3 linked regions of the Drosophila melanogaster genome follow. The protein of the gene in region 1 interacts with the protein of each later gene in a pairwise test. Each region holds a gene or a part of one and is shown on either strand. Other genes may lie near its edges. The genes, in order: btd, CG15545 and CG7991.

Region 1 (11,428 bases):
AAAGTTGGAAAACTCTGCGGACCCAGCGAAGCGGCGAAGCTCGATGATGTATACTGGTCCTTATCCGATTTCCCCATTGTTTGCCAATTGTTTGCCGTTGCGATTCACATTTTTATGCATTTTTTATGTATATCGCGGAGTACATGATTGTGTTGCTGTTCGACAAGTTCATAAAAAATGCAAACACGCTGCTTCAACGGGAATGTTTGTCCGCCTGTCCGTCCGTCTGTCCGTTTGTCCGTTTGTCCGTTTTTCCGTGATTTATGCCTTCGCATAGCGTAGCTCTCTTTTTGGCCCATTGTTGTTGGTGGACCGTTGGACGGCCGGACCCGGCTATTGGCGCCAAGTTCGAAGTTCTTGGATGCCCGATGCCCGGATTCCTGATTTCTGAATCCTGATTGCCGTTTCCCGAGCTTATCGAACACTCTACCACTACTGACCGCGCGGCATCCATTTCCATTTCCGCTTCCGCTGGCCATGTTTTCCACTGCCTCTTGACGTTTTTTTTTTAGCTGTTTTTTTTTTCTTTTTTGTTGCGGCAAGCGCATATAAAAAAGCTTATGCAAATTTTTTGTTGTTTACTCAGTCAGCTCTTTTGTGGTCGTTGTAGCCGGTTGTTCAAGTGTCGATTTCGAGTGGCAAACAGAAATCTGGGATGGGTAGCATAAGTACTTCGAGAGCCAGCTACATATGTACATACATACTTACATACACTATACAAAATACAATATACATATGTAGTATATTGTATGTTGGGGGTGGAAAAACCCAAGCCAGATTTTTGTTTTCAGTTTTAAATGGGGTGGAGCATTTTTTCGTGAGCTCATCATTGGGTTCATTAGTTGAAAGTAGAGAGCAATCAAGTGGTTAATAATTTAAAAATGGTAAAAGTTTAAATTTTGCAATATGAGCGTAACAAGCAATTGTCCAAGGCTACAAAAGCTTATGCAACTATAGGGCTAACAACAAATAAATGTAAATATCCTAAACAACAAATTTTACAAATATTCATGGGAAAATTTAGTAAAACGCAGAAAGGGGTTTAATTAAGGAAAGGCTACTTTTTAGCGTCGCTCCATCTCGTAAATTAGTAAAATTATTGGACAAGCTAATTTAAATTAAATACACTAGATTTTTAAGCCCTTATTCGAGACCGGGTTGAGCGAATTTCTATATTTATATACAGACCTTGTTTATTGTGTGCTATAAATAATAGAAATTGCCCACTAGAAATCCATTGTTCGGCATCGGCGTTTGGTGTTTTTTTTTTGTATTTTGTATTTCACACATTGTTGTTATGTCGGTAGGAGATCTGAGGTGAAACTCTGGGTTCCAAATCCCAGATCCCAGATCCCAGACCCCAGGCCAGAACAAAACCGAACCGGACTTCATGGGCCACACACTTTGTAAGTGTTTTGCGGTCGTAAATAATCTCGAATAGTTCGCATTCGTTGCTGAAGTTTGTTACATGGCATAAATCAAATTCTTGATTTATAATAATTGCAAAAACACTCACTCAAACCGGTGGAGCGACGGTAACTTGGAACTGTCCCACACATGTCAACCGAATCTGGTTTGCAGGAGGTGCCAAGGGGAGTAGGGATATTACAATATATATTCGTAATTGTTGCCACACACGTCAGAGCCAGATCCACAAGTCAAAAAAAAAAAAGAAAAACTAATACTATATCGAGGAAAATTGTATAAAGAAATATGTGAAATATTACTGGAAAAATTAACAAATCGTTCTATTGTAAATAAATGATTTAAAAAATACAAAGAGTCCAAGTTGTATTTTATCTGATTTTAACGTTCTTTTTTATTTATTATTTATTAAAAAGCTACTAGGCACAAAATCAGAAGTCTATTTAGGAGTTATCCGGCTAATGACGCCCATATCCCTGCTGCTTTTGATACCCTGTATAAACGGAAATCACACCGAAAAGCAGGCGCAGCAAATCGATTTATGCCCTCCAAAGGGGAAATTTGGTAAAGAGGGAAATGGGAAAAACTTAATCAATTCGCAACGCTTTTTCGTGGTCATAATGCGGCATTCATACACATATAAATGAGTGTGTGTGTGTGTGTATATGCATAGACAACTCCCCTTCTGGACTCGAGTGTGGGCGTGACAGGTTTGGCGGTGGGGGGAAGGCGCTACACGGTGCAGACATTTAAATGCATTTTAATAGATTTTCCACTTTTCCTTTAATTTTTTTTCTATGCGCACCAGGAAACGGAAAACAAAACACACACGCGTATTAGTTGGTGTGCGTCTGTGTGTGTGTGTGTGGGCGGAAATGGGGGCGTTGTGTGGTGTGGGGCAGTGGGCGTGCCCCATATCGATAAACCGTAGCAAACCGAAAGAAACATTCTTTGACACAAACAAATAGGCGAAGCGCGAACAATAAAATCAAATTAAATGCAGCAGAAAAGGAGCAATTTAGTCGAGTCCTTTTCTATTGGAGTCCTTTACTTCATTTTTTCTTTTGTGCAACTGTGAATTAAATGCGCCTGGTCATTGTGGAGCCATTAGCGGTGCTCGAGCGCCCCTGTCCCGGTTTTCCTTTTCGTATATATATTTTTTTTTTTTTTTCTGTGCTGTCAGCATGAAAAGTGGAAAATTTATTGACTGCACATATGTCGCACTTTTTCCATTGGCTCCTGCCACACATCCAGTTGTTGTTGTTGTTGTTGTGCCCTTAATGTTTGCCCTCGCCTAATGCACACACATAAATATTTTAATTTGTATGCCGCAGATGCCGTTGGCCCGATTGAGTTGTCCTTCGATGGCCAGCGTTGAGGTCCTTATCCCTTTTGGCCACTTTGGTTGTCGAATCGAAACGAATCGAATCGAATTGAATCGTATCGTATCGTACCGAATCCCCAATCCTTCACATATCCTTAACGATTGTCACGGTCTGATGTGAGCGACAGTGATTGGGTCACGTGCCAAAATCGACAAAGGACTCCTTTGATAGCAGTTCATCGATTGAATTCAACGCTGCTCATCAGGTACTTGATGGGTGGTAATTAATTGATATTCAAATGTGGCAAACCTGCACATATGTATGTATGTAGTACCTGTCTCAATTCGGAGTTCATATATTTACGAATAAGCGTATTAAAAACAATCTATATACTCGTATGCATTAACTTGAAATTTGATATAATTTAACAAATATTTTTTGCTCAATCAGCGCTCATAATAGGTGGCATAAATGAAGACATCCGTTTTTGTATTATAATAGCCAGCTGATGGCAATCCATCGCTGAGCTGTTTATCTTGTACCTTTTGGCAATCGGGATTGCGATCTTGTAGCGCGATTATCCTTTAAACACATGTCATCTTAGCCCCCAGCCACTGAAAACTTGTATTTGTATTCCTGCCGAGATCTGCACCCGCATCGAGCCAAAATACCGGGCCATATGCCGCAACGAAACGATCTTGGGCCAAAAGACAAAAGGCAATAGAACCCACACGCACACACACGCACAGGGAAAACTCGTCGGTGGTTTCGACCGCAGGACATAACCGAAATTTATAATCACCGATGACCATGTCAAGCACGCCCACCGCCAACGCCCCTCCCCCAAAAAAAAAGAAACCCGAAAAAAAAACAGAGTGTATAATAGGGGAAAATGTGAAAAGTGAAAAGTAGAAACTAATAAATACCAAGTGCCGATGAAACATAAAACATTTTCTAGTTAAGTCATGTTCGATCATCTCGACCGCAGGACCTTTTCTTTTTGGACACGCTTGCTTAGCGCAGGCAGTGAGATAATCTCAACTCAATTTGCTGTCCTCTCGAAGGATGAAAACAAGTGAGGAGCACAAGGATCGCTCCTGCGCCTCCTGCGAGCGCCGAACATCAAAACAACGATTCTGTGGAAATGTCAAGCCCAGCAAGGCGAGTCAAGTGGCCAAAGCGGGCCGATATTATTTATAGCTCCGATTAAAATTAGAACGATATCTGGTTACCCCAAAAAAAAAAAAAAACTTCGACAGCGCCACTTGAGAATCTGTGATCCTTGAGGAGCGTGCCCAGAAGTCCCAGTTACTTGAGTCGAGTATGTGTGACAACACTTTCGGTTTGCCATCGGTATTTCGTATATATATCTTATAAATTTTTATTTTTTTTAAGTGGCCATAGGTGTGGTGTCAGCTAGCCACAAATTCTGGGAACTTCTCGGCTGCTGATCTAATTTTCTGTCGCTGCCCCAAGTGGTTAGTCATGTCGCAATATCGGGTTATGACTTCATTTTGTGATGTGATTTCATAATTTGTTTAATTTGTGTTTTTTTAACAGGTTGTTGGACAAACAATATTCGGCTTAGAAGATCTATGAAATTTCGAAAGAAACTTTATTAATTACTGTATTTAAAAATATCATTATAAGAACTCATATGTTGTATCTGTTTAATTGGATTGCTTTGAAACTTTCAACAACATTTTATTATTATTACTAACTGTTTAAATGAATTGAACTAAATTGCATAGACTACCAATTAATCTCACATTATATAGGTTTAAGTTCTGGCGATTTCGTGCATTAGACAAAAAAAAAAAGAAAATCTAAGAGGCAAAATCATTTAAATAGGCCCTAAACAACTAACATTTCCAGCAATTCTGTAACCCATACTTAAAATTACACTTTCGCCCCTCACAAGAGTTGGTCGAGAGCACTTTTCGAGCCATTAAACCGACCAAAACAGTAAAGACTTATACCTCATGTTCGAGTTAACTCCTCTACGCAATAAAACAAAATATTGATGCGGTGGCGGGGGCGGGGGGGGATGGGTTAGGGGGTGTGGGGCAAAAAAAAAAAACAGAAACGAAGAGACGCGAAGAAAAATTAACAAATCATAACATCATCATTTATCATCATTAAGCTGCGAGATTTTATATTTTGTATTTCTTGTTGTACTCTTCTTTTTTTTTTCTGGACTTTTCCCTTTTTTGGTTATGTTTTATTTTCCCTGGCTGACCGCAGACTTCAGTTATAAATCAATCAGATTTTGTTTGCCATTTAGTGGAGCGCCCCGAACAAAAAAAAAATCAAGGTGGTGGTTGAGGGTGGGGCAAAAAGGGTTTTTGGGTGCTTGAGGTTTGGCGTTCGACGTTCGGCGTTTGGGGTCTTAACGCGGCCAACGCGGCGTATGATTAACGTGCGTGTGAAGTTGTCGGGCTGCCCCATCACACCCTCCTCCTCCTCCTCCTCCTCCTCCTCCTTCTCCGCCTCCTTCTTCCATAGAAAAGTTTCTTTCTCCATTTTTGGTTTCATATTACTACGGCTCTACCAATCCGAAAGCAAGCGAGGTTGTCAACCGCTTCTTGCACCATTGCATCGGGCATCCAAAGATGGTGATGACTTTGGTTGAGTCCAAGACTTGCAAGTGGGCGTGGCACGTTCGGGGGCTTGGCGCTCACTCAACTTGAAAATTGATTGATGCCCGGGCTGGGCAGCATAAATCAATATTTTATATTGGCCGCAATCGATCTGCATCGCTATCTCTCGCATCGCTTGACGGCGGATCGAATTGGATCGAACTCTTCTCTCTCTCTTTTTCTCCGGCGATTCGATTGCCAATCTTCACGCCATCATTGTATTTTTATTATTAGTTTTTTTTACCCCCCTCCCCCCTTATTCTGCTGGGACAAAATGTTTCCCGTTTAATTATAAACTCTGTGTTGGGCAATTCATTTTGGGCTGGCCAAAGTGGGATAGTCGCTCGAGCTAAATTGACTCTCATTGGTTGCCTAAAGATTGAATATGTGCCCCTTGTGAGTTATGATCCCCAGTTGAAGTAAGGGGGGTGGGTGTGGGGTATAGATGCTGAGCTGCGGGAAATGGGATTAAATTAATTTCGCAGCTAGGAAAAGGACCGGGGATCTGGAATCTTGAAGAGATCTAAAAGTGGTAAGCCGCTTTTAGTGAGAAAAACTACTATTAAATCACATCCGATTGTTATGAAATTCTACAACTATGTGTATCTTGACTAAATAAATCATTGTATTTAAGGATATATACATATCACATTCGTACCTTTATTTATGCACATTTTAAAGTAAAGCAATCTATAAATGATGTACATCTCCCAAGCTAACAATGTTTTTGCAATTTTAAAGCGATGGCCGACGTTGATGAAATTATAACTAGAAATGCAGACAGCTATAATGATTGCTATTGAAAAAGTTTCTATTATTATCCAAATACCGCCAAAGGTCAGCACCCAAAAGCAGATCAAGTTCGCCGGAAGTCGGGAAGCTTCCTGGATCCCTCGATTTATATGCAAGAAAGCAACCCCTGGCGGAGATCAAACAACCCTGAAATCTAACCAAGCCAGGAACCCATTAACAAGGGTGCGTCGGGATCGGAGAGAATAATAAAAAACTGGATTCGCTTTGTTTTCCGATATTATTTTGTTCGTTTTTTTTTTTTATTGTTAGGATTTCATTTCAGTGTGGGGATTTTGTCGCCTTGGATTTTTCACTTTTTGTTGTTGTATATAATTTATCTTAAAGACAATTAACAATTATTATGGTACACAACTAGATGGTTTCTCTCATTCTATATGGTATGGCTTAAAAAGAACGCTATATATGTTTGTATGTACAGACATGCAAAAAAAAATGCCTTAGCTACTAGATTGGGGGAAAAAAAATGAAAAAAATTCAAGTTCTAGTCTCTACATGTATAGTTAATATATGTGTATGTATATATATATATATATATTTATATAATATTATATAATGCCTTATACGGTATTTTGTGAATTCAAATTTTTTTTTGATTTTCACATTATATTTTTATATCAACAATAAACACTGAAAAAAAAACACACACTAGATTTTCGTTCTACGCTTGCTTTGTTGCCGTTCTGGGTTTTGGGACATTATGGCATTTGTTTCATCAACTTTCAACTGTAACAATTTTGGGAAGGATCGGGGACATCCTAGGCGGTGGCATGTGGATGATAGGCCGCTGCCCACGCATTGTGATGGTGCGGATGTGGATGCGGATAACCGTAACTGGCTGTTCCCGCACCAAAATCAGCCGGATAACTGGCCGCATACTCGGACTTCATGTGGCAACTGGAGCTGGAATCCTGGCTAGCTCCGCTGGCCAATCCGCTCATGGTTAGCCCATATTCCGCCGCCAGCTGGGACTCACTTTGCATGGCAAGTGCGGCATAATGATGCTGGGCCAGCGCCGTGGCTGATGCGGCTGGGGAAGATGCAGATCCAATGGCAGAAACGACCGCTGCCGCTGGGGAACTGGCGCTGGAGGATGAGGATGAACTGGCTGAGGTAGTGGCTGGTTGTATGGCACGGCTGCTGCTACTGCTCCACGGCTGCTCCACAAAGCTGGCCGCCGCCGATGATGTTGTCGTCGTCATCTGCTGCTGGAAGAGCGGCGGCGGTGGCGGCGGAGGATTCACACTCGATCCGGCGGATGTGGAATGCTGATAGAGATTGGCATAGGGCGCATAGTTGACCAGCGGTGTCGTATCCGGCTGCTCCTGCTTGAATTCCACGGGTGGCGTCAGTGGCTTACCCGACTTCTTCTCCTTCTTTTCCAGCTTTATCGCCGCAGCCGCCTGCTCCTTGGCCTCGGCGGCCAATACCTTCTTGCTCTTCTTGTCCTTGAAATGGGTCTTCTTGTGCTTGCTGAGGTGATCGCTGCGCGAAAACTTCTTGGAGCAAATGGGGCAGGCATACGGGCGGTAATTGGTGTGCGTACGTCCGTGCCGCTGCAGCTCATCCGATCGGGAGAAACGCTTGCCGCACGTGAGGCACAGGAAGGGCCGCTCGCCGGTGTGCCAGCGCAGGTGGGTCTTCAGATGCGACGCCTTACCGTATAGCCGTTCGCAGCCCGGAATGTGGCAGATATGCTGCTTGCGTCCGCGCTCATCCGGACCCACAATCGGTGGCAGGCCGCTCATCTCGTTGGTGCAATTGGGACACGTGCAGCGAACGGAGCGGCGTTGCAATTGCGTCTGGAAGGCGATGTCGTCGAAATTGAAGCCCGGATAGCTCTGTGAACTCCATGGCTGATAGAGGCGCTCCTGATGCGAGAACCAAGCGGCCGAGGAGGACATGCCCACCGCATTGCCGTAATAATCGGAGGCGTACTGGGCATATGGAAACTGACTTCTAGATGGAGAAAAGAAATGAAGACAGAGAATGGTTAATTTGGTTTTTTTTAATCATTTACTTAATGGGTACACCTGCTATCGGAATACTAAATTGTAATGTATTCAAGTGGTACCTATCATTTTATAAGTTTATGAGATTATTTGTATGCTAATCCATTTCAATCTTCGGGATAATTTGATTAATATATTCCTATGTATTAAACTGTATAATTTGCAAAAGATATATGTCTTTATCTCGCTCATGATCGAAATACAATCAGCCTGTAGTTATTCTATTAAAAGGAGATCTAATTCAGATCGAAATTAGTGTATCCCTAATAACCACAAATTTGATGATCTATAAGCTTTGATTTATTGATCACTAGCATTTTAAAGTTTCTTTCTTACGAATGATTCCCAACTCAACTTCTGTAAATCCTATATATAGGGATATTTACCTCGCTGGCCCCAATCCGGAGTAGGCGGTATTCCAGCCGTAGGCGGCACTGGCGACCGCCGCTGCTCCAAGGTCCGCTGCTGCCGCCGCAGCTGCTGCTGCCGCCGCTGCAGCCGATGCTGCTGACGAGGATGGTGAGGAGGATGTGGGTGATCCCGCTAGGGCGCCCGCTGCCGCCGTTGTTGGTGGCGCCAAGGTCGTGGTGGGCGTGGATGGACTAGCCGAAATGGAGGCGAATGACTGGGCAGGTGATGGGAAGATGCTGGGCGACACGGAGGCCGATGATGGCGCCGATTGTATGCTGGAGTTGGGCGATGCGGTGCCCGTGGATGAGGCCTGTGGATACGGCAGTTCCAGCTTCATTGGCGGCTTTCCATATAGCGGAGAACTGCCGGAGCTGGAGCCGGAACTCGAGCCGGATAGGGATGGTGGGGCGGACAGCAGGGCGGCGGCGCTGAGGAAGTCATGTTGCTGCTGTTGCGGCTGTTGTTGTTGCTGCTGTTGCTGCTGCTGTTGCTGCTGTTGTTGTTGCTGCTGCTGCTGTTGCTGTGTCAAGTGTTGCATATGCTGCTGTTGCGCCTGCTGATGCGACAAGTGCAGATGATGTTGCGCCTGCTGCATGTGCAGATGATGTTGCTGTTGTTGCGCGTGTTGCTGATGTTGCGCATGTTGCTGCTGCTGCGCCTGATGCTGTTGCGCATAGGGATTTAAGTAATTGCAGGCCGCATCGATCATGTTGAAAACGCTTGCGATTTTAATGTTGCGCTGAGATTTGTTTGGATCCTACTGCTGCGATTGCTGCTGCGTTTTACTGCTTCTGGTTGCTACTGCGTTCGTTAACAATTTTCGCACATTGCTCTTGCACTTATTGATATTCGCTCGTGTAATTATGGCACGCTTTTCACTTTAGTTTTATAATTATAGTCTTTTGCTGCCGCGCACGTAATTGCGAGCACGCGGAGGAGAACACGGAAAAAACACAAACAAATTAAAGGCGGCCGAAAATTCGCCAATGCTGCGTGCAAATATATATATATATATATCCCTCTATATATACAAATCTATATGCATATATATATATATAGATCCGAAAACGAGCGAGTTTCTCTGCTGCCACTGCGGCTGGCTCTTCTGCTTCTTCTTCTTTCGTTCGTAGTGCTGCTGCTGCTGCGCGTGATGTGATGTGATACAACCACCGGTAATTATCGTCGATTGTCGACTGAATTCCAAAACGCGGCGAGAGAGTCTAACAACGTACAAAACGAATCCACTTGGCTGCGGGCAGAGGCGCGGGCAGAGGGCAGCGGCAGCGCTGCTGCTGCTCGTGCTGTCACATTCTCGCACTCGTCTATCGCCACTGAGCGCTGAGCCAGCTCTCGCTCTCTCTCGCTCTCGGCACCATCATGGTGGTTGTTTTTGGCCGCAACGGTGTGCCTTCGGGGCAACTCGCTTCGTCTCGCTTGCACGTGTGGCGCGGAAGTGTCACTCCCGGCAGCAGCAGCCACTCTCCGTAGCTAGCTCACTCTCTCTCTCTCTTTCGCTCTTGCGGTATGGTGCTCTCTCTCCACGTTGCTGTTGCAGTGTTGTTATTGCTGGCGCTGCTGCCGCGGGCGTTTTGTTTTAATTTCTATGTGTGGGTTTGTGTGTCAAAGCAATTGGGTGAGCATGCGTTTTGTTGTTGCTGTTGTTGTTGTCGTTTCAGCTAGTGCTCAAAATGCTTATATTTGTTGTTATTGTTGGTTATATCTAAACTTTAAGCCAAAAATGTTGGCTTAAATTTAATGCAAAGTTTGTATTTAAGAATATGTGTAAATAATTTACATTATTAGCATTTTTAGTGAAGTATTTGAAATATTTGATTAGTGAAGTATTTGAAATATTTTATTATTTAGTTGGTTAATCTATATATTCCATAATTTATGTTTATTTTAACCCTATCAACCCCTCAAAATGTGTATAAAATAAATAACGTATTCACGTATCCTTTGCAATTCAAAATAAAGAGCTTAGCAAATATTTTAGAAAAATTGTATTAATTTTTTTTAAGTCTGCTAACTTAGAGATAGTTTCTAACTACAAATTTAGTTTTTATTTTCAATTTTAAACATTTAAATTTCTCATATAAACCTTAAGTACACACAAAATATAGGTATTGTTACATATATCCGACCGATTTTTAATGCCCATAAATTACTCGACATTTTACACATTTCAAGTACCGTCATTAAAAGCACGAATATCTGCTTAAATTCTCATTATCCCCTTGCCCACTCAGACCATCAATTTGTTTCGATGAAAGTAAGCAGACAGAGAGAAAGAAGTATGGCTCATCACTTTAATTAAATTAAAATTTCTGTTTAATGGCATTTTTCTCCAGAGGATCCCAATGATAAAAAGTAACGTTAGAAGACGAAGAGGGAGCGTGCATAATTCAAATATCAATACAATAACAATAAAAACTAATAAATTTGTGGTCGCGGCCCAATGAAATAACTGTATTTAAAGGGGCGTTGACCAAACACCACCACAAAAGAGACAGCAGCTCTCTCCTTCGCTCTCTCTCTCTCGCATGGCCTGCGCCCGTTTCGTGTGTGCGTGCGTTTGTGTATGCTTGTGTGCCGCATATTAATCACAATTGCTGTTGCTGTTGTTGTTTTCGCTCCCTTTTTATTACGCGGCGTCTTTTTTATTACGCATACGCAACGTGGGTCTGAGCCACAAATTTTACGACTTGCTGCTGCTGTGAAAAGATAATGATGACTCCCAAAACGGAACAAGCTCACGGAAGTGCATCTCGACTCTTAAGCTACCCATTGTTAAGATGAATATCAT
Region 2 (9,771 bases), on another chromosome or scaffold:
GAGGAGCCACCAACATAATAGTAATGTCGCCGATGCAACTGCTGCCCCCCCAGCAGCAGCAGCAGCAGCCGCAACAGCAACAGCAGCAGCAGTAAGCACCATCGAAGAGAAAGGCTAACTGACTGGCCAATCAGCTATAAATACGAATTGTAAATAAAGTCTTAAGCAGCCGAGAGCAACCCTAAGTATATGTTTAACAACACTACCCAGCAAAACTAAAAACTAAAAACAAAGAAAAAAACAAAGTTTGTAAATGTCAGGTTATAAAGCATAGATCCCCGTGTCAGCGATGTCAACTCAAAATCAAACGTAGTCTAAGCAACCTAACATATCCCCCCGCAGAACGTATATGGTACCCATCTACATGAGCAGCCACCACACTGAGATATATAGATATGCCACTTCGCCGTTTCGCAATTTCAGACCCTCCAGAGTAGTATCCCCACATAGACCCGTATGCAAACCGAACGTGTATGATATTGTATGTGTTTCTATGGCATTGTTTGTACATTAAGCTTATTACGTACTCCAAATACGTCTTCGACTAAAACGCAGCCTGGGAGGTAAACCAAATAAAATGAATTAATGGAAGCAAAACATAAGTAGCAGTAGTAGTGTCCATCAGCAAAGCTCCCCACACATCTCCCCACTCCATTCCAATGGCAAACCATGTAAAGATCAAGAGAAAATAAATTTAATTTAATTAAATAAACACTGGTATGTTTTACTGGTGTTTCGCTTTTCCTTTTCAAAGTGCATTGTTCACGACATTGTGTCAGAGTATTGAGCTCCTCTCAACTTTCAGCCATGTAATGTTACGTATACGCAGTGTCGGCCATACTGAGCATCATTCAAGTGACACTCACTTGCGGCCAAAAGTACGTTGAAGTTGAAGCCATTAAAGCACCCAATAATTGGCATCTGTTGTCGTTTATTATTCTTGGTCGGCCAACTTTGGCGGCATTCTGGCTTTTTAGTCCGAACGGACAGGCCAAAAGCGAAGTAAAAACCAAAACATTTGGTCAACGCTGAGCTCACGAAAATCAACTTTTCGTTCCAAAAGTGAAAAATGCCGCGATTTGGTTTGACCTTAGATGGAAACTCGTCTCTGCCGCTGCGCCGTCGACTTCGCTGCCAACGTCCACGCTGCACTGGCAGCAAATAAATTTTTGCCTCGATGCTGTTTGTGTTTGTTGTTAATAAGTCACTCGAAGAATTTGCAAAAGGGTATAATGTATTTTCAAAAATCTTGCGAGAGGCTAAAAACCAAAACCAACAAGTGTGTCATTTTCCAAACTGCCTGCAGTGAATGCAGCGCACTGTTTGCTTTCGAAGAAATCGAATATGGAAATATAATTAAATGCTGTATATTTCCAATTCGTAGAGTATCCAAAAGTTTATAAACACAGAAACTCTCGTTTTTACTCACTTCTCGAGTTATTTTTCGCAAGAATCGCAAATTAGTCTGGGGCCTGGTTGATCACCTGAGCAAACGAAACTGAACGCCTACGACAAATGACAACGCCGATGGCGACGCCAACATCTCAGCCATTTTATGTGCTCTCCGGCCTCCGACGGATTCTTTTTGTGTCAGTCGGTTTGCGGACCAGTCTCCGATCAGTCGAGTGGACCACCAATCCGGCGAAGATTGGGCGACCATGCTGAACGGAAAATTCTACACGGGCTTGCCGCCCAAAATGGTGGAGCGCCAGGCGGTGAAGGTGTGCAATCGCCAGGAGTCGCACTTCTTCTGGCCAGACGATTCCCGAGCGGATTCCGCGGTGGAAACCCGAGCAAAGAGGAGAAACAGCCAGCAGCTGGAGAGGCCTGTGGAAAGGATTACTTCCAATCAGAATGTATCCGACGAAGTGGACACACGGCGAATGTTTCACAAGGAGTTTGCCAGTTCTTCCATACAGTTCTATGATAATCTGCAGTCTAATCCTGGAAATAAACCTTCATTGGCAAGGGGTCTACGCAGAGAAATAACCCCAAAACTAACCGAAGTGAGACCGCAGGAATCGGATAACAAAGCTGAGGACACCAGCAGCCGTCGCCAGCAGGCTTACAGCTCCAAGATCCAGTTCTACGATTATGTAAACGAAGCAGATAACCTAACTCAAAATAACGCCAGGAGACCACAAATGGACTTGAATGACAAGCGCGAAGTGGAACTGAATTCCAAGAACAGTCCCAAGCTGCAGGTCAAAAGAAATGTGCGCAGTTTCAGCGTGGAACTGGAGCCCAAGGTCACCAAGAAACCCCTGAACGACAGTCCCGAGTGGCGGCGGCCACGCCCACTGCCCCTGCCCAAAAGGATACTGAAGCAAACGTCACAGGATCAGGACCCGTACGACCATCTGGAAAGTCGAGTCCGAAGATTGCAACTAACCCGAAGTCCCGGACTGCCCAAAAAGCATGTGACCTACAACGAGGAGGCTGCCGAGTACGCCTACTACGATGATCGGGTGGATCGCGATGATCGGGAGGATCGCGAGGATCGTGAGGAGCCCACCTACGAAACTCGCTACCGTCAGCAGCCAAATATGCCGACAGGAAGTCGCCAGCAGCAGCAGCAGCAGCAACATCAACGCTCTTTTATGGAAACTAGTCGGAGCAAGCCATTAAATAATAATAATAATTATCAGGCCAACGGCAATGGTAGGAAAATCTTTCCAAAAATGCCACAGACCCAATCCGGAGTGGGTAACACACACACTATCGACGAAGATCCCCCCGTGCCCTCTGACCCTCGCAAACACCTGCGCAGCAGCCTCTGCTTCAGCGGCGACGCTTTGATGGTGGGCGGTACGGCGTCGCAGTCGCCGCCCACTGCGCAGGCGCGTCGCAGCTCAGCGGGGCAGAGAGTGAGCGTGGGTCTGCCGGACTGAGGGCTCCAGTTCGCGTGTTCAGTGATTAGTGCAGCTACACAGTGAGAAATGCAAGTGCAAAAACATATAACTGAAGCGATGAAGAAGATCATACAAGAATATCTGCTTGACAATCATTAGGATGAAATAGTATTACAAATATTTCTCTATGTAGTAAGTCGACAGCAACAATCTGCATTGCTAATTGAAAGCCAACAGCGACTGCAACAGAAGCAGCAACAACATCTGCAGCACAACAGCCACATCAGCAGCAAGTTGATGCGACAGCAGCAGCTCAACCTTTTTTTAGTTTTTACTTTTACGATCCCATACAAACTCTGAATTCACCCACATGCGAATGAATGAGTCGGCTTTTTTGTTGTTTTCGAGCGGTTGAATATACATACATAAACAAACCTTGATCTTGACTAATTTGTCGGCGATGCTGTTGTTGTGCACCACGATCATGTATTAATTTAGCTTTTAAAGCCAACGCAGAAAAATCTATAATTATAATGATAGAGATATGCTAATAAACTAATACATATATAACCAAATAAATTTCGAATCGGGAAATATTCAATTAAGCCTTAAAAACCTACTATAGGCACAGAAAAATATACATGGGCACTTAATCAATTCGTTTGGTATTCAGTTTTCAAACTAATAATGAAAGAGAGTGAAGTTCAAGTTGTTATATATTTATATCGAGGTAATCGAAAGCAGGCGCACATTGAACTTGGAAAGGCTTGCCATGAATACAACGCAGCTATTCATTGTGTGCATTGTGTGAATAGAAACTTATTCATACCTCAAGCTCACTGATGGGCCTGTAATCTGTTTGGCAATATTATGAATCGATCTAGTATGTAATTCATAGACCGTAATGTAATTCGAGGCACCCTTTCGCGCGGCTTTTCTTTATCGACTCATTTGAAATTCCCAACAATTTGCTAGTCTGGCAATCAAGTCCGTTGCTCTGGGCAGCTCACCTGGCCAGCCCATTTTGGGGCTGGGGCTGGGGCATTCGCAGGTCCCTGCCCCTAGCTCCTTTCACAAAACTTTCAGAAAGAAAGAGCCATTGAGGTGGCATTGTTAGGAGCCAGCGGAAATCCAACCAAGCTTGCAGTCAAGTTGAAGTCCAAGTGCCAGTTTAAATCGCGACTGGTGGGGTTTCCGAGCGGTTTCACAAGGAAACGGGGCATTATGCGGCGTTGCAACCAATTGTCACGCGTGTTGAACTTGAGCTTGACCTTGTCTTGGAACGGGGTGTGGAATCCAACCACCCATTGTCCAGCCAGCAAATTGCAACAAGTGCGGCAATTATCCAACATATGCCACGGGGCTGCAATCAAGGCGGCATTAGCCGGGAATTTAATTAAGGCATCGCTTTAATTGCCGACAATCTGCAGCTGCCATGGGAACCCAATTCAAAATCCAGAGACAGGATAAGCGTGCAAAATAATTGTGCAAATGAAGCGTGGTGAAATGTTACGCAACTCCCTGTCCATATCCACTGCCATTTCTCAAACCATTTCTTCGTCCATTTCCATTTCCACATCCACATCCACTTCCACCAACTCCGGGACAAGACAAACTGCTCAACCTCCGCTCATGTACGTCCATACGGCATACATCTTCCGCATTTCGATCGCGCATCCTGGCCGATAGAAAGTAGTCCAAGCGTGCCGGCAAAAAAGGCGAAAGGGGCCAAAAAGCAGCGCCAGCTGGCTAACATTTCCTGGCTCGACTTGGCCCCGACTGAACCTGAACTTCGGGCCAAATGCGGAGAGAAGAAAAGTGCAGCGTTTATTGGGTAATACTCGTGGAAACCCGTTTGCCGCAAGACTGATTTAAAAAAGTCGATAGGATAGGTGGTTCTTCTGCTTTTTAGTGGGTGGGTGGCTCGTGCCGGTCGACGTCATACACATTAAAAAATTGTTGGTGTAAAGTGAGCGATTGTAATAGTTAAATATTTAATGGAACGTAGATATATTACCATTTTCGATTATGATTGTTATGATTATTAATTAGCAATTGTAAGTTTGTTACTATCGAATAAAGGCATTCCTTTTAGTTAGCTGTATATTAACAAGTTTGAGGTCAAATTACGCTACTCAAAAAAGCCATCAATCTTTGCCTATTAACTATATTGTCGTACATTTTGCATATCTAATTTGCTTACTTTCCTATTAAGTCACATACCACAACCTAAGCCCCCTCCACAGTTACAACTTCGAAGAAGTAAATGGCCATCGTTATGTGTAATTACGGCCATAAAGAAACATTTTATTTATGCCCCCTGCCCCATCCGATAAGTTGGCGCTCTATTTCCTAGTGGAAATGCAAATAATGCCTCACTTTGCGCGCGGTAAACTCTTTTTTTTTACTCCATGTTGTTGTGAGTAGTAAGTCCATGCGTGAAGCGGAGATTTCGATCTGCTACTGACTAGCTGCTCACCTGGCAGGTTTCAATTGCGATTGCCATTGCGAAACATGTTGCAGCAGGTTCGAGGAAGCTAGCATAAAACTGTTGCGTCCGTTGGCCGAACTTTCAGTTTCGTTGGGGCCACGCTGGTGGTTAATACCATTGAAGAGAGTTTTCACAAGACGCAATCACCCCGAAAAAGCCGCCACCCAAAATGAAAGTGTGCTGGAATGTAAGCTGTTGCATCCGCAATCGTAGATTCACAATTAACATGAAATGGATACTATCTCCTTAGTTCTTTGCTGCGGCGGTGCTGTTAGTGACGGTCACCTCGGGGCTGAGACCCCCACGATCCTACTATCGGAGGAGCTACTTCAGTGCAGTGGGTTCAGGATCTGGGCACGCACCCAGCTCTCTGCCAGGACCAGTGAGAATAGGACCCGCTAGTTACTTCCGTGCCGATCTGCAAACAAATGAGAGCAAGCACCGGCCACTGAGCAAAAAGTATCCCAAGAAGAGCCACTACAGACCCTACGGATCGGTAAGTTGGCCTAACAAATAAGATATCAAATAATAGGAAAGATCTAAAAGCCCGAAATAATACAATATTCCCCTAAAATATAGCAAGAGGAAGAGGACGAACAACGCTACAATTCCGCGGAATATTCAGGAGAGTCCTCCGTTCAGGATAGTCGGGAATACACGATTGGCACCCAAATTCGCGTCCAGCATCCCATAACCGTGCCCAAGAAGTCCAGTTCCGGCTACCAGAAGCAGCCAAAATATGTGACGGCCATTCCATACAAGGCATCTGGTTATGGATCCGATATCCACAAGCCCTCCGGTTATGGATCCGATGTTCATATTGGATCTGGAGAGGATGTTGGACCTCCTCCGAAAAGATCGAAGTGGACCCCAGTGCAATACGAATCGGAAGCCGATCCCTTCCATCTAGTGCCACCTCCAAAGGCAACCGTCGCCTCCAGCAGCAACTCATATAGTGTTTATGAGCCCGAACACGATGACTACGAGGTGGTTCCAGTGCCCCGACCAAAAAGCCACGATCGCTACAAAAGCGTCGCCTCCAAGAAACAAGTAGAGGCCTACCTAGAGGATCAGCAGAAGCTGCTCGACGAGGCCATCAAAGTTCAGCTTTTGAACAATCCGAAGCTGCAAAAATTCTTCAAGGCCCAGGCGCAGGAACAGGAGCGGGAATCGCGGCCAGACCTCGAAATCGAGGATTTTGAGGCCTATCCGCCCAACTTTTCGGGGCCCGGACACCTGCGCAACAAGTACATCGAACACCCACCATCTTCTCCGCCGAAGGGATCTCGATCACGCCGGCGTCCTCCAAGTGGAGATCTTAACCGACCACCCAAGACCATCATCAAACCGAAAAGGAAATACCGATCCACAGCACTGGTCATCAATGTGTGAGAGGGATTACTAAGTCCTGACTTAATCGTTAATTAAAATATCGTTTATAAATACTTAGAGTAGTCTTGTTGTACAGAGTATTTTTAAGTAATAAAAGACCATTTATTTTAAATGCCCCTATTTAAATGACTTTATCTTGGAAGTTTGGTGTTGATATGAAAGAAAATTATGGATATATTTTGATGCATTTAATTTATAATTTACGAATTTTAACATACGAGTTATTTGGCGCTTAGGAGCAGTTAAGCATAAATAGTTGTATATTTTATAAAGTGTTTTAATATACTTTTCTGTTGTATCTATCAAGAGAACGGTGGCGGTCTCTATCGGTTTTTGAAAGAAGTATAGAGTCTCGGTTCTTGTCTCAGCTAAATGTATGGTGTCCCGGCTTTTCTACCATTTCATGAGGAGAATTCGTCACCAAAGTGAATCCGATAAGGAGTGTTGCTGGCTTATTTGCTTAAAAAAAAAAAGATTATATCACTTAACTCAATTGCAAATAACCTTTCAATTTAATGATGTTTTCAAGTTTATAATACGCCACTTTAATTAAATATATTAATTACTCATCAATTTAATTGGATTCTGTATTCGTCACACCCACATCGCCATAATTGGAGTGAGTTCCACATTTCACGACAAATTCTGGCGACGTTTACCTTTTTAAAAATAAACGCAGTCAATCATAAACGTGTGTTGTTCATAAAAATAGACGTATTAAGAACACTTTGGAAGCAACACACCCATGAGACACCTGTTTCGATCCCAGGCAAATTCTCGACTCTTACCTCTTTCGCAAATCCGAACGAAAATCCGCAATTGAGCAAGCCAATTCAATCGATTGCGATTGCCGCAAAAGTGGGTGCACAAAGGCACGCGGAGAAGAAATCATAAAAAGCAATAAGTAGCAAAAAACAAAACCGAATTGATTTTCTTAATTGACTAAACAGTTTCAACAGAAGCCAGACCCCAAAGCCAGGCAAAGCAAAAATCCAAACTCCAAGCCGGACCCTCGAGTCCACAACAAATCTGACCTTGAAAGCTAAGCTCTGAAAAGTGTTGCTAATATTGTTAATGTAATCGTTGTCGGTGGTGAAAAGGAATGCCAACCAATGGATGTGGAAAGTACAGAGGGAAAAATGCTAAAAATAAAGACAACAATAAAATGCTAGCACTAAAAATATTTAAAAAATAAGTAAAAATGGAATCATGAATAAAATATAGTCAAATTAGAATAGATTTTGAGAGATATTGAATGAAATCAATTATTTCAGCATGCCCTGAATTAATTTATTATTTCCGAAGTAAATATATAGGTATAAGTGCAATTAAATAATAGAATAGCAATCGGTGCTCGAATTAAGTTGTAAACTATAACACACATATGCTGAGAACTCAGCAGGTGAGAGGAAATAGCAAATTAGCTGGCGGCATTCTTGCGTTCGATGGTGCATAAAATATGCAAAACATTTGGATGTTATTAAGTTGCACTAACGCAACTGGAGCCTGACGGATCGCAATACCATTGGGAATTGATTTAGAGCCCCAATCCCCTAATGAACCAGTGCCACCCCCACTTGCACATGGTTTTCCGGCTTAGCCAGCACCAGCACACCAGGCTGATTTCATTTTCATCGGAATTTTGCACAATTGGCCAAGATTACTGTCAAATGAGCGAAACCCGTTTGAGGTCTTTCCTTGTTGGCCGCATAGAATCGTAACAGAAACTCGAAACTTGTTTTGCACGTACGAAAGTCGGTTGTGTAATGCCGCATTTAGTGGGCGTTCACCACCCGAGGTGTTTAGATAAATCTGCTGGAAATTAAATAAGCGGCCACTGGCCGAAAAACAAAAGACTGCAGGACACGAACTTGGTTTCCTTCATATATTGTTTTTACTCGATTATAGTACAAATTGCTCAGACGTCCCAAGGCCCAAATTAACATAGTTTCTAAATTAATTTTGATCATTTTTCAACATCATCGAAGTTTATTGACTTCTCTTTTCTTGGGAAGACTTAAATGGAAAGATTAAAGTTTAATGGGAAAGTCACAGAGAAAAAGGCCGACATTTCTTGAGTTTTTTCATATTTCAAAAATATGCAAATGATATTTTGAATATATTTTGTAATTTAAATCAGCAATACCCATTGGGCAGCAGCGATTAATTTTCTCTGTGTAGGATTATAAATTAATAACAAACAGTACGCATATAGGAAGTACGATACAATTGCTCTTAAACATATCACACGAGAGTTTGATGGAGTCAAGAAAAGAGTAGGGGTTCTAGTTGTGATAGGGAAAGTTGGAAAAGAAGAAAGAGGATCCCTACTAATGAAGAAGATGCATAATGTCTGAGTGGAGGACAGTGGGGCTTATACCTTGTTGAAGGAGTAGGTGAAGCCATCGGGCGTGCGGTTCAGGGACAGTTTGCCGGGTGGCGAAAAGCGGTGTGGGTTGGGGGTGGTGGTGGTGTAGTACGCCTGCTGGGGTTGCGGCTGCTGATACTGGGGTTGGGGCTGCTGATACTGAGGCTGGTACTGCTGCTGCGGCTGCACGGGCTGTGGGTTGTAGGCGGGCTGGGGAGCAGGACGGTACTGCGGCTGGGCAGCGGGCTGCTGGTAGCTCTGCTGGTTCTGTCCGAAAGAGGGATCGTTGTAGCGGGGATCGTAGGAACCATCATCTCCGTAGTCATTGCTGCGGAAACTGGCCTGCGGCTGGGGAGCGGGAGCCTGGTACTGCTGCGGCTGGTACTGCTGCTGTGGCTGATATCCCGCTGTGGGCACGGGCTGTGGTGGAGCAGGTGGTGCCTGGGGCAAGTGATCTCCAGAAGCTTGGAAACTATTTCGGAATAAAAACCAAATTAATACAAGTTCGGGTATTTGTTCTATAGAAAGTGCTTACCCATTTTTGCCAGCTGTGTACGAAATAGTACGCCTCTGGCCCGTGGGATCCAGATAGCTGTAGCTGCCATGACGTGTTCCATCCGCATCCGTCTCCTCCTTGAAGTTGATGCCATCCTCCTGCTCATAGGCAG
Region 3 (10,704 bases), on another chromosome or scaffold:
TGCTTCGTCCCACCTGGATAGCCAAAGTAGCCGACGCTCTTCACCTGCTTGCGGAGATCGGGTTGCATGGAGAGGGCCTTGAAGATGGCTCTCTTCAGCTGCTTGTACTGAAAGTGCGGCGGGAATGGCATGTCCTCGAAGGACAACATCAACAGGTTGCCCGCCTCGTTTCCCACGGCCAGCGAACGGCCGCAGTGGGTGAATCTGGAAGGCGAGGAGATGCGATAGGATCATTCAAGGAGAAGACTCTGAACTCACTTGAAGGTGGTGTAGAAGATGTCGGCGTCTATCACCGTGGAGGACACCGGCTTCATGGTGCTATTGCGCAGGTCCCAGATGTCCACGGTGCTGCGACTGAGCGAGACCAGGATGGTGGAGTGAGTGCGGCTCCAGCGGGCGCAGTGCACCGGGGACAGGTGATGCTGAAGGGTCACGATGGGCAACAGGATTCCAGCCAGCCAGATACGAATGCACCTGATGGGGACGCATGAGTGAGGATAGAGAAACCCGGAACAAAATCGCAGTTGATCTCACCAGTCGCTGCCGCAAGTGAGGTACATCCTTGGTGACCAGGGCGAGAACTCCATGCAGGCGGCGGGTCCATCGTGCACCTGCCTTAGTTCCAAGTGCTGCAGCGGGTAGTTCGTGGAGCACTTGTACAGGGTACCCTCGTCGGTCAGCACGTAGTATATGTCCGACTGGACAGGATCGAGCACAATCTCCAGACACTGCGGATGCCTGTTGGCCAGGAGGGAAGCCGCCGGAGGCTGTCGCTCGATGGGAATCCCCTCTAGCTCGCCCTCCGCCCGCTGCAAACGCTGCTGCTCGAGTCCCAGCATATTGGGACTATTGATCAGCCGGTACTTGGTCACCGCCCCAGCCTGCGAAGTGGCCAAGAAGGGCGTGATGTGCGGGTTCCTGCACCCAACATCGCCCTCGAAGTAGATCCATTTAATGGCCGTTACTGGCTCGAAGTATGGCGAGGACAAACGCTGCGATACAGCTAGTGGTGGCAGATCCTGTCCAGAAATATCCCTAACCTCCACACCTCCGTTGTGCAGTCCAATGGCCAGCAGTTGCGGTTGGGTGGGTGAAAACTCCACGGTGACCACAGGCACTTGGTAGTGGTAGCGTCGTTCCGGATTCACAGGGTTCTTGATGTTCCACACGTAGACCCAGCCGGATCTGGGTAACTTGCTGACCTTGCCGTGGCTGTACACCCCGTAGGCCACCGCCATGATGTCCCCATTGCTGGGACAGAAGCTCATGTCGCTCACCGCTTGATGAACCTTGGGATCCGACGAGGGGGGGCTCAGTCGCCACAGCAGGCCCAGTCGGTACTTGAACTTGACGTCCTCGGCCAAGGGATCTGGAGGAGCCATGTTCCTGTACCTCCGTTGCTGCGGCTCGAAGACATTGCTGGCCAAGATGCGCATGGTCAGCATGAGGGCCAGTCGAAAGCCGGGCAGGCAGTTGATCCCCACGAACTGATCCACCCCGCCCACGTGGTAGGTGGTTATCTCCATCTTCTTCGCGCCCTGCACCTGGACACTCGTGGTGGACTTCTCCAGGTCGGTGTACGTGTCGTACATCTCGAAGTTGGACACATAGGAACCCATCTGGGCGGTGGTCAGCCGCTCGGTGTTCACCAGCCTGGACTTCATCAGCGCCGTCATGGTTTGGGTGTCCGCATCGACGGTTCTCCGCGTTTTGTCCGTTCCCGAGAGCAGTTCGTCGTACTTCCGGTTGTCCTCCATCACCTGGCGACCCTCCTCCGTGTCCGCCAAGGCGGTCATGCTGCGCCGTTCGAATAGCACCACGATGGGAGTCTTTCGGAGCAGCACCTTGATGAAGGGCGTGGCTGGAGGACGGGCGGAGTGGGCGGAGCGGGCGGAGGAAGCAGGCTCCTTCAGATAATTCGGTTCCTCCAGAGTGGGCGACATGGGCGTGTCCAGCTGCAGCTTGTAAAGATTGATCTGGCGAATAAACATACTGTATGGCTTGATTTCTTTGGACATTAAGGATGATAGGCACTCACCCCCAAGGCAATGTCATCCAAGGAAGCTCTCATCACGCACTTCGTTCGGTACTCCGGCGTACGGAGCTTATGGAGTTGCTGCTGCTCCGCTCCGGGCTCCTTCATCAGCGGATGGTCCCTAATCATCCTGCTCAGTTGCTCGAAGTCCGCGGTGCGGTAATCCTTCCTCAAAGGTCGCGACATCCTTCTCAATTAATTTGAATGAGCGCGTGCCGCCGATTTCCCAACTTGTTTACTGCGTGTGCAGACATGGCAACGCAACAATGGTGGATACAATATATGGGTGCCATAACTACCAAGTGCTGTAGTTGCACTCCGATTGCAACACGGAATTCCATTAGCAGGCTCACACATGACTGCACTCATTGCGTCCATAAATATTTATAACTCACATTTAAATCGCGCAACAAAAGTGCATAATAAGTGGGTTGGTAAGCAAAAACGTATATTTAAATATGAATGTAGTTCCAGTTGTGCAATGAAGATGAAGCCACCATAGTCTAACATCAATTTGGATCATTACCTTTAGTGATTCCAATAATTTGCGCGGCTTTCTGACCTGTCACAAGAAAAATCCCCCAACCGGAGAAAAGCAAAACAAACTATAAACTACAAAATACAAACTACAAACTACCAACAAATGAAATTCGTATTCATATTCCAATTAGACAGTAGAAGAATAGCAGACGGAAAATAGTTAGATGGTATATGGTAAAAAGGTCTTTAATTCCGCCACATAGCCGCATAGGAAATGGGCAAAAGATGGGATGAGGAGGAGCACTTGGCCATGTGGGCGATTGAGAGCAGCAAGCCGTGCAGCACACTGAACGAAAATAAGATCGGGTTAAGAATGAAATATGATTAGGTTAAGTGCTCACAGCAAAGAAATGTATCTACAGAGAAATTATTTCAACATGAATCCCAAACTATAAATATGACAATCTTAATTTGAAGATAGCTTGTAATAATCAAAGCGATTTTCCGTGTATAGAAGATATGGAAGTCGAAAAGAAGTTGTTTATGTTAATTTGGCTTTATGCTTCGCTACGCTGATTCGCTTGATGAACATATAGCAAAAAAGAGGGCTGATTATGAGGACGACGACGACGACGACGACGATGACGATGATGATGAGGGGGCCCAAACCGAGCGAATATGGCCAAGTGCACTATGTCAAACGGAGGGGCACACGGCAAGCGGGCAACTGATGGCCAAGAAGAACAAACCATCAAACCGTCAACGCATCAAAGCGTTAAGTAATAAATGTGCAGGCAGCCAGCGAAAAGAAAGAGTTAAGAGCAAAAAAAAAAAAACAAATCCAAGCGGGCTATAAACAATAGTCGCCTGTCTTGCAGGTTGCGTGCATTTTGAACTCTGCACGAGCCAACGATCGTTGTTGTTGGCCGATTTGGCCAGACTCTTGTTGTTGCTGTTACACATTTTGGGGGCAGCAACAACCACCTACAGTCAGCGAAATTCAGTGAACCGCCACCAACGCGACGCCAACTGCGACGCCGGCGGCGACTGCGCAGTCAGCGCCACACTGAATTACATCTTTGAGGTGTTGAAAAATATTAATAATATTTTAAAATTACACTTTAAGTTTAAGACTCAGTTCTGTGATAGCTTTTTAATGGACTAACCCAGCTTGTAAGCAAGCTGATACCACTGATGTAACTACCTTTTAACTCCAGCCAGTTGTTAGCCATGTTTGTCCAGTGTTTGTGAGATAATTAATAATTTTGTCGCCAGCCCGCAAGAAACGAGTCTGCGGAGTGGACCCTGTTTTGAAAAGTGAAATAAAACGCCACTTTTTACGAACATCTAATTGTGTCCGCACCCTGGAAACCCATAAAACGCGCCATCTCCATCTCGATCCAGCCCATGGGCTGGCTATTAGCCATATGTCGCTCGCATTCAGATCGTCTGGGCTTCTTACACCTGTTTTATGTCCCCACTGGCCCCAATGTGCGACGACTGCCCCTTTCGGAGCGTCGACTGCGCCGCCCGGCGTTTCGGTGTAACACATTTTCAGTTCGTTTCCATTGTGGCAGGGAGCGCGGAAGACCAGCGAGCCAGCGAGCCAGCGCGCCAGACGAGAAGAGCTGGCGGCAGAGCGAGCTCAAGTCGAGCTCGGAGGTTTTTTTTCGAGGCAGCGGAGCGACTTTTTATTCGTTAATTAACCGTCGAGCGGGCCAGAAGTCCGAGTTGCTCGGCTTAACGGAAGTGCTGAAATCGGGCGGCTAATTGAGCACACCTCGCCTCCAGTTGACACCTGAGACACCTGAGGGAAAAAACGAATTGAAACCACTCCACATAGCTCGGGTCATAACTTTCCTCGCTGGCCGGCTGCTAATGTCTCAATTTGTTGTGCGCGTTGGGCAAGTGCAGTTGCCATTCAGCCGTGGCTGTATCTGAAAGATACAATTCGGGAGAGCTCGGTTCCTGAGTGATTCGAAGTTTATGCTAATCAGCTGTGTTGCTCCGCGAGAGGGATCATTTCGCCATAGACCCACACCCGCATAGCCAGTGATCACATAACGAAATAACGAAACCAATCAGCAGACGATCTTATCAGCGCCAAAAGAGGAGGAACACAATGTTGTTTTGGAAGAGGCGTCTTCAGCGATCGAGCAGCTCTTCGAGTAAGTCCCCGTTTCTATATGGCCAAGTTTGTGGGAATGGTGGTAATGGGGGACGGGGGACGGGACCACGCCTCCAACGATTGGGCAACAAGAAATATGATTTCGCCGGGCAGGTGAATTTCGATTTTCGGTCCAGTGACAAGCTCGAATATTTTGGCCTCGACTCATCTGCATAATTTGCATCTTAAGCATTATTTCTGGCTGTGCCCAGCGACTGGTTTATTGATTTTATTTCAGTGCTTCCCTGGCCAAGATCGTAAATTCACCCCGCTGGGCTTCATCACCCACAAAAGACTTGGACAAATACAAATGGGAGCGCGAGCCACGCGGGACATGAATAATAGCTCATATCTGGCCATCGAAATTCTCGCCGAGGTGTTCCCTTTGTGGATGACGATTGCCCAGAGATTTATGAATGGATTTAATGTGTTTAGCATAATTATGCAGATCGCCGTGTAGAAGATAATATCTCACTAGGTTTGGTTTCAAGCGTAAACACTTGGGATGGAAGTGGAAAGATTTGACACATTCACGATCAGTCGGATAAAGATTTGATGGTCTTAAGGGGCTTGGGAAGAATGGGTTTACTAACCAATATGATTATAGTGTGGTCAACACATTGTACCCTAATCCCCCACTTGAATCCCTCTCCTTCCTTTGAAAACCCATGGCCCGCAGTCAGGTGTCATAACAGATTTGTCCCGATGGCCAACAAGGTGGCCAACTGCTATCGAGCATCGCATTGAAAACTGTCCCTTTTCCCCACATTCCTGTGGTTACTCTTCGTCTTCTCCCATCCCATCCCATCTGCTCCATAACTTTCCAACCAAGTGCCGACTATGTGTCTCATTCGCTGTATCTCAGTTCTGAGCTCTCGGGGTTTATTTGGGATCAAAAACATGACTTTGACTTGTGGTAATGTGATGTTAATGACAATCATCAGCAGCGACACAAGCAATAACAACGCAGGCAGAACGAGGAGGAGCAGGAGTAGGAGTAGGTGACATCCACACCACCGCCACATGAAAGCAGTAGTCCCAGTAGTGGGTAGCCCCGCCTCCTGAGCCGCGGAGCACGCCTAACACGATTCCGGAGATCGGACATCTCTGCCAGCGACATTTATTTTATGTGCGTTCCGTTCCCGAAAGTCGTGGCCCATAATCGGCTTACCCAGAGTTCTTGGCTCTACCATACCGCAGTTGACACTTCTGGCTATTTGGTTCGCTTAGTTCGTGCCCGGAGTCTTCTGTTTTTATAGAAGCTGCCCATCAAGTTGCAGGTTTAATGGTCGCTTGTGGCCCAGTGCCGCATCGAAAAATGAGTTCGGCGTTTTGTTGTGACATTTTAATGGCCTGACCGAGCTCCATTCCCCACCGCCGAGATGGTTATCAATATTACAAAATAGTTTTCGGCTTTCGGTGGAAGCGTGCTGGATGGGATTGGAATGGTAAACAGTGTCTGGAGAATTATCTGAAACCTAAGACGATGAGCAAGGTGGAACAATTTAAATTACCATAAATCAAAACCCACAGATATACTGTGTAAGAAGTGTAGAAACATAAGTTCCAATTGAGAGTTTCTCACCGAGTTTAGTCGAGCTCTATTTGGGGCACTCCATTTGCAAGTGGCTTAATTCCCATAAATTCCGTTTGTAGATCTTTCACTTGACCGGACTGCGTCCCCCTTTGAGACCCACTTAGCCCACATCTTTGGGTCAGTCCTACACTTTCCGCGCATTCCACGAGCTCGGACCTCGAAAATTGTCTGCAAATTGCTCATAAATTACATGAAAACCGTCGCAATGCCAAAAGCTGCACCTACACCATCATTATCAGCTTGTAAATAAAAAGACTTTATCAATCGTTAAGCCGCGGGCGCAGACTCGCCATCCGGAGCCCGCGTCCGGGATCCAAGATCTCACCTCATAACATAACATAAAAGTCGTCCGGGTGGAAGGAGATGAGATGAAGATGGAGCGAAGGTGGATGCCCATTCCCATTCCCAATCCCATTCCCATCCTCATTCCAGGGCAAAACCCTGGCTCCGCTGCGGTCAAGTACAAATATTTTTATTTATGATTTTACAGATCAGCATATTGCTCAATAATTTCACCGCACCGGCAACAAAATAACTTTCAAATTACGCCTGCCGAGGATCCTCGCTTAAGTGCGCCAATTTTGAGATTATTATTGCCGGCTGCGTATGCAGATAATCGTGACCCAAAGTGCAGGAGGATGGGGTGCCCATAACTCAGCCGGTTCAGCTGGGAATCGGGAATGAGCTGGAATGATCCTCGACCAGCAAGGACTAGTGGATTGAAGCTGGTCAGCCACCGATTTAATTACTCTATTTGGCTAGTTTTTTGGGGTCGAATTTAGGTTGTCTGCGCTAGTTGGGATCTGGATTTGGATCTGGATGTGGAGTATTTGGGGCAGCTTAATATTTTCCCATAAATTACTCGGGGCCAGGAGAAAATTACTTTAAAATTTATGGCCCCGGCATCTTACACGCTGATTTGGCCCTTTTATTTTCGGCTGGCCGTTTGGTTTCTTTCTCTGGCCATCGAGCATCGAGCACTGGCTGCGAGGATCTGGGAACAGGTCGTGGCGGCGATGCCCCCACCGCAGTGATATCCGCGTTCCGAGGGGGCGGTCCCCTGGAAAGTTCGCACGATTGATGATCGACTGCGAGTCGCAGTTGCCGAGCTCCAGATTCACTGGGCTCCCTGGGCTGCGATGATGACGCCGTCCTGTCACCGCACTGACATCGCTGTTTATGTAATTACCGCCGGCCGCGCAGCGATCACAAAGCTATCCCGATATCCCAGTACCAATCCCAATCCCAGTGTATCCGATATGATCGCGATCGCACACACAGCTTTTGGGCTCAGCCCAGCTCAGCTCAGCTCAACTTTGGCTTTAGCTTCGCTTCGGACGCAGCTTGTAATTATTTTCTACTTAATCTTCATCACATGTGAAACATGTCGAAAAGTTAAGCGCTCGGCATGAGGCGTTGCCTCCACTCCTCGCTCCACTGCCCAGCGTCGCGTCCGGGGATGCACTTCATCGGATTTCACTTGCACTCGAGGCGGGAGTGGAACTTCCTCAGCCATTTCCAATCGCTAATGACTGCAGGAAATGGTCGGCACTGGGAACATCTATTGTGGGGAATTTACCAAATTTCACGGCTACCAGCGGGGTGTTAAAAGATAGCTTAAATGTGGGGAAGTATCTGAGTATCTGCTAGATATGTTTCATTAAATTTGAGCTACTCCGCCTCACGTGCAACATTCACATTTTACAAGATGTACGTTGAGATATGTTCAATCCGCAGATGAGTAAGATTCTCAGATACGCTCGATTCAGCGGATAACATCTTTTTTGCTTGTGCCCACAATCCTTGCAATAATTTATTCGGATTTTATGATGCGACATTTGGGATGCAAGTGCATGATAGCTTTTTCTTTACATATGTTTACAAGCATCCATTGTGCCCCACAAAAAATAAGGGGGCATGAGTGGCATGTATGGGCATGGGCATTCGGGGATCACGTAATCGTCTGGCAGTCACCTGGAACTGGAATCCAATCCCATTCGTCGTTCGCCATTCGCCATTCCGTCTGGTGGCCAATCTGTTATCTTCCTGCTGGGCAGAGTGAAAATGAAATGGGCAGTGTGCGTGCAGCGGATCACGCCCCATCTTCTCCTTGACCCGCCAGTGCATCTATATATATGTATGTATGTACTATATAGCCTTGTACATCATGTGGATTCGCATGCAGATGAAGAGTCGGCAACTTTGGAGGGGGTGGGCCAACCTCTGACCGAATTTCCAGCGATGATTATCGACTGGCGTGCAAATATGCGGAAAGAACGCTCGCTGAGCACTCGCATTCGGCGCGGTCTTGTCTTTTAAATGGAACTAATTAAATTCGGCTCCGAAAGCGTTGAATTTCGTGTGTGAGCCCATAATTGGGGGCTTGTAAAGCCCAAGGGAAACGCCCACATGCGAACCGATACCACTGCCCTTCGCCGCACTCCATCACCATCACCATTTCCCGATTTCAGACCCACTTTGCACTGATTTAGTGTCATATAAAGTTGTAAGTGAAGATTATGTTACCAGAACTAATTGCAGCCAAGGTGAAGGTAGTCCAGGATGGGAAGCCCAGCAGAAAGAGAGACTGCGTCCCCTTGGCAGACCCATTCCCATTCCCACTCCAGCTCCCTATACCCGTCTGCTTCTGGCTGGTCCCTCCGCCTGTCTTTCTGCTGACAGCACGTGCTGAAGTTGCTCTGCCCCTCGAGTCACCGGAATGGGAATCCCCGCCTCCGTCTGGGCCAGCAAGTTTTCTGTCAGTGTTGTCGCGCAGTAATGACTAAAAAAGAGCCACTAGTTAAGCTGGACTGCATTTTGAACAAGAACAAAGGTAAACTTGTACGTTAGGAAGACTATTAAATGGGTTTAAGGTATCTTTAAATCTACATGTTCACAACTTTGGCTATGACGACGTACTATATCTTATTCATTAGGTGTTTTATATTCATAAGCATAAGTAAGCATCACTGTCAGTTGGTAATTTTTATAATTTAATTGACAAAGTGACAGGTTTACTCGGAGGAGTGGCTTGCTCTTGGAAGCCTTAAAAAATCAGGCAATTGAGTCGATATTGATTTTGGGCCACACACATGCGAGTATTCCAGAGATACGGATACGGATACCAGCCATGATATAGACTTCTCGGCTCGTGTACTTCGCTTAAGTGCCGTTTGGCACCAGGTCGGCTACTCGGTGTCTCTCGGGGATGGGACATAAATTGACTACCAGGAGCAGGAGTCGATTGTTTCCTGTTCGGTGCAGGTGTGCGCCCAACTGCGGAGATTTAATGTCATTTTCTGGGGCTGCCTACCGAAACTGCCTGCAAATTGCCAACAAGTTATGAAATTCCACAAATTGTGATTTGCATGAAGCCGAAGCAGAAATGGAAAAGGAACGAGGAAAGGAAAGGAAGTCCTGCAGGAAGCCCTGCATTGGGCTTAAAGCTACGAGGGGCTCACTCGGCCATGTCTTACAGAATCATAATATCCTTGGCATGCTCTTTTGCCCAGCAATTCAACTCCATTGGCCATGAGCTGCCATTCTGGTTTTCAAGCTTCATTCGTTGGCTGCTTGGAATTCCGATTGATGCACATTAGATAAATATTCCATAATTCAATGCTGACTAGCAAGCCGAACAGAAGTTGCTGCTAGCAAGGATTTGCACTGCGAGAAAAGAGTGGTAACGAATGCATCGAAATATAATGCTCGAGAAGTCAATTTTCCATAAATAAGATAAGAATAAGTTTAATTGATTTTTACAGCTGCCTACCATGCTATCGGTTCATATCACTTTTTGGGACAGTTAATTTTTTTTTTCGAATTTTTCATTTTTTATATTTTTTTTTTTGTGAATAACGGCTAAATATTAGACTTTTTATGTGTAAATGCCAGTCGGTCGGAAATTTAATTACGAGTTGAACGAGATATGACATACCAGGAATAGTAGTTTCATTGGTATGGACAAAATAAAGAAAGAATGCAGAAAAGACTTTTTTTTTCAACATTTTGTCATAACATGGCCAAAAAGTGTCACACTAACAAAATAATCACTGTTCTTTACAACTAATGAGCTATACTAACTATGGTCATCATTTTTTTTTCGATAACTAAAAAAAAATTTTTTGCCAATTTTCGCATTTTCGGTAAGGGGTTACATCATCATTTTTTGCAAAAATTGGTCAAATTTAAAATTTTCCAATTTTGATTGCCAATCAATTGCAAATGTTTTTACGAGCATTTTAAGGTATGACACTCCAATTTTGAGCCAAAATTTGTGATGTTGTGATGTGAAAACACTGAATTTTCAACCGTTTTTAGGGCTTATAATTACACCATTTTTCCCCCAGTGTACATATGAGTGTGTGGGTACACAGTGCACATTTCATATGTATTTGCCAACTGCAACTAAACCCAATCAAACAA

What was found.
Region 2: the proteins of btd (region 1) and CG15545 interact in a two-hybrid assay, tested with the Drosophila melanogaster proteins (one large-scale study listed by BioGRID).
Region 3: the proteins of btd (region 1) and CG7991 interact in a two-hybrid assay, tested with the Drosophila melanogaster proteins (one large-scale study listed by BioGRID).

The regions. Positions count from the first base shown.
Region 1 is NC_004354.4:9,692,577-9,704,004, reverse strand, and holds btd (buttonhead), read right to left. Parts: upstream 9,820-11,428; 5' UTR 9,332-9,819; coding exon 8,598-9,331; intron 8,159-8,597; coding exon 6,958-8,158; 3' UTR 6,447-6,957; downstream 1-6,446. UniProt on the Drosophila melanogaster protein: Required for the development of the antennal, intercalary and mandibular segments of the head.
Region 2 is NT_033777.3:30,868,022-30,877,792, reverse strand, and holds CG15545 (uncharacterized protein), read left to right. Parts: upstream 1-5,441; 5' UTR 5,442-5,512; coding exon 5,513-5,530; intron 5,531-5,593; coding exon 5,594-5,839; intron 5,840-5,922; coding exon 5,923-6,735; 3' UTR 6,736-6,854; downstream 6,855-9,771. Other genes in the region: CG15546 (uncharacterized protein), read left to right, coding at 1,659-2,891; Cpr100A (cuticular protein 100A), read right to left, coding at 9,110-9,575, 9,639-9,771.
Region 3 is NT_037436.4:1,670,485-1,681,188, forward strand, and holds the start of CG7991 (uncharacterized protein), read left to right. Parts: upstream 1-4,224; 5' UTR 4,225-4,637; coding exon 4,638-4,683; intron 4,684-10,704. Other genes in the region: CG13930 (uncharacterized protein), read right to left, coding at 1-204, 259-474, 535-1,976, 2,039-2,221.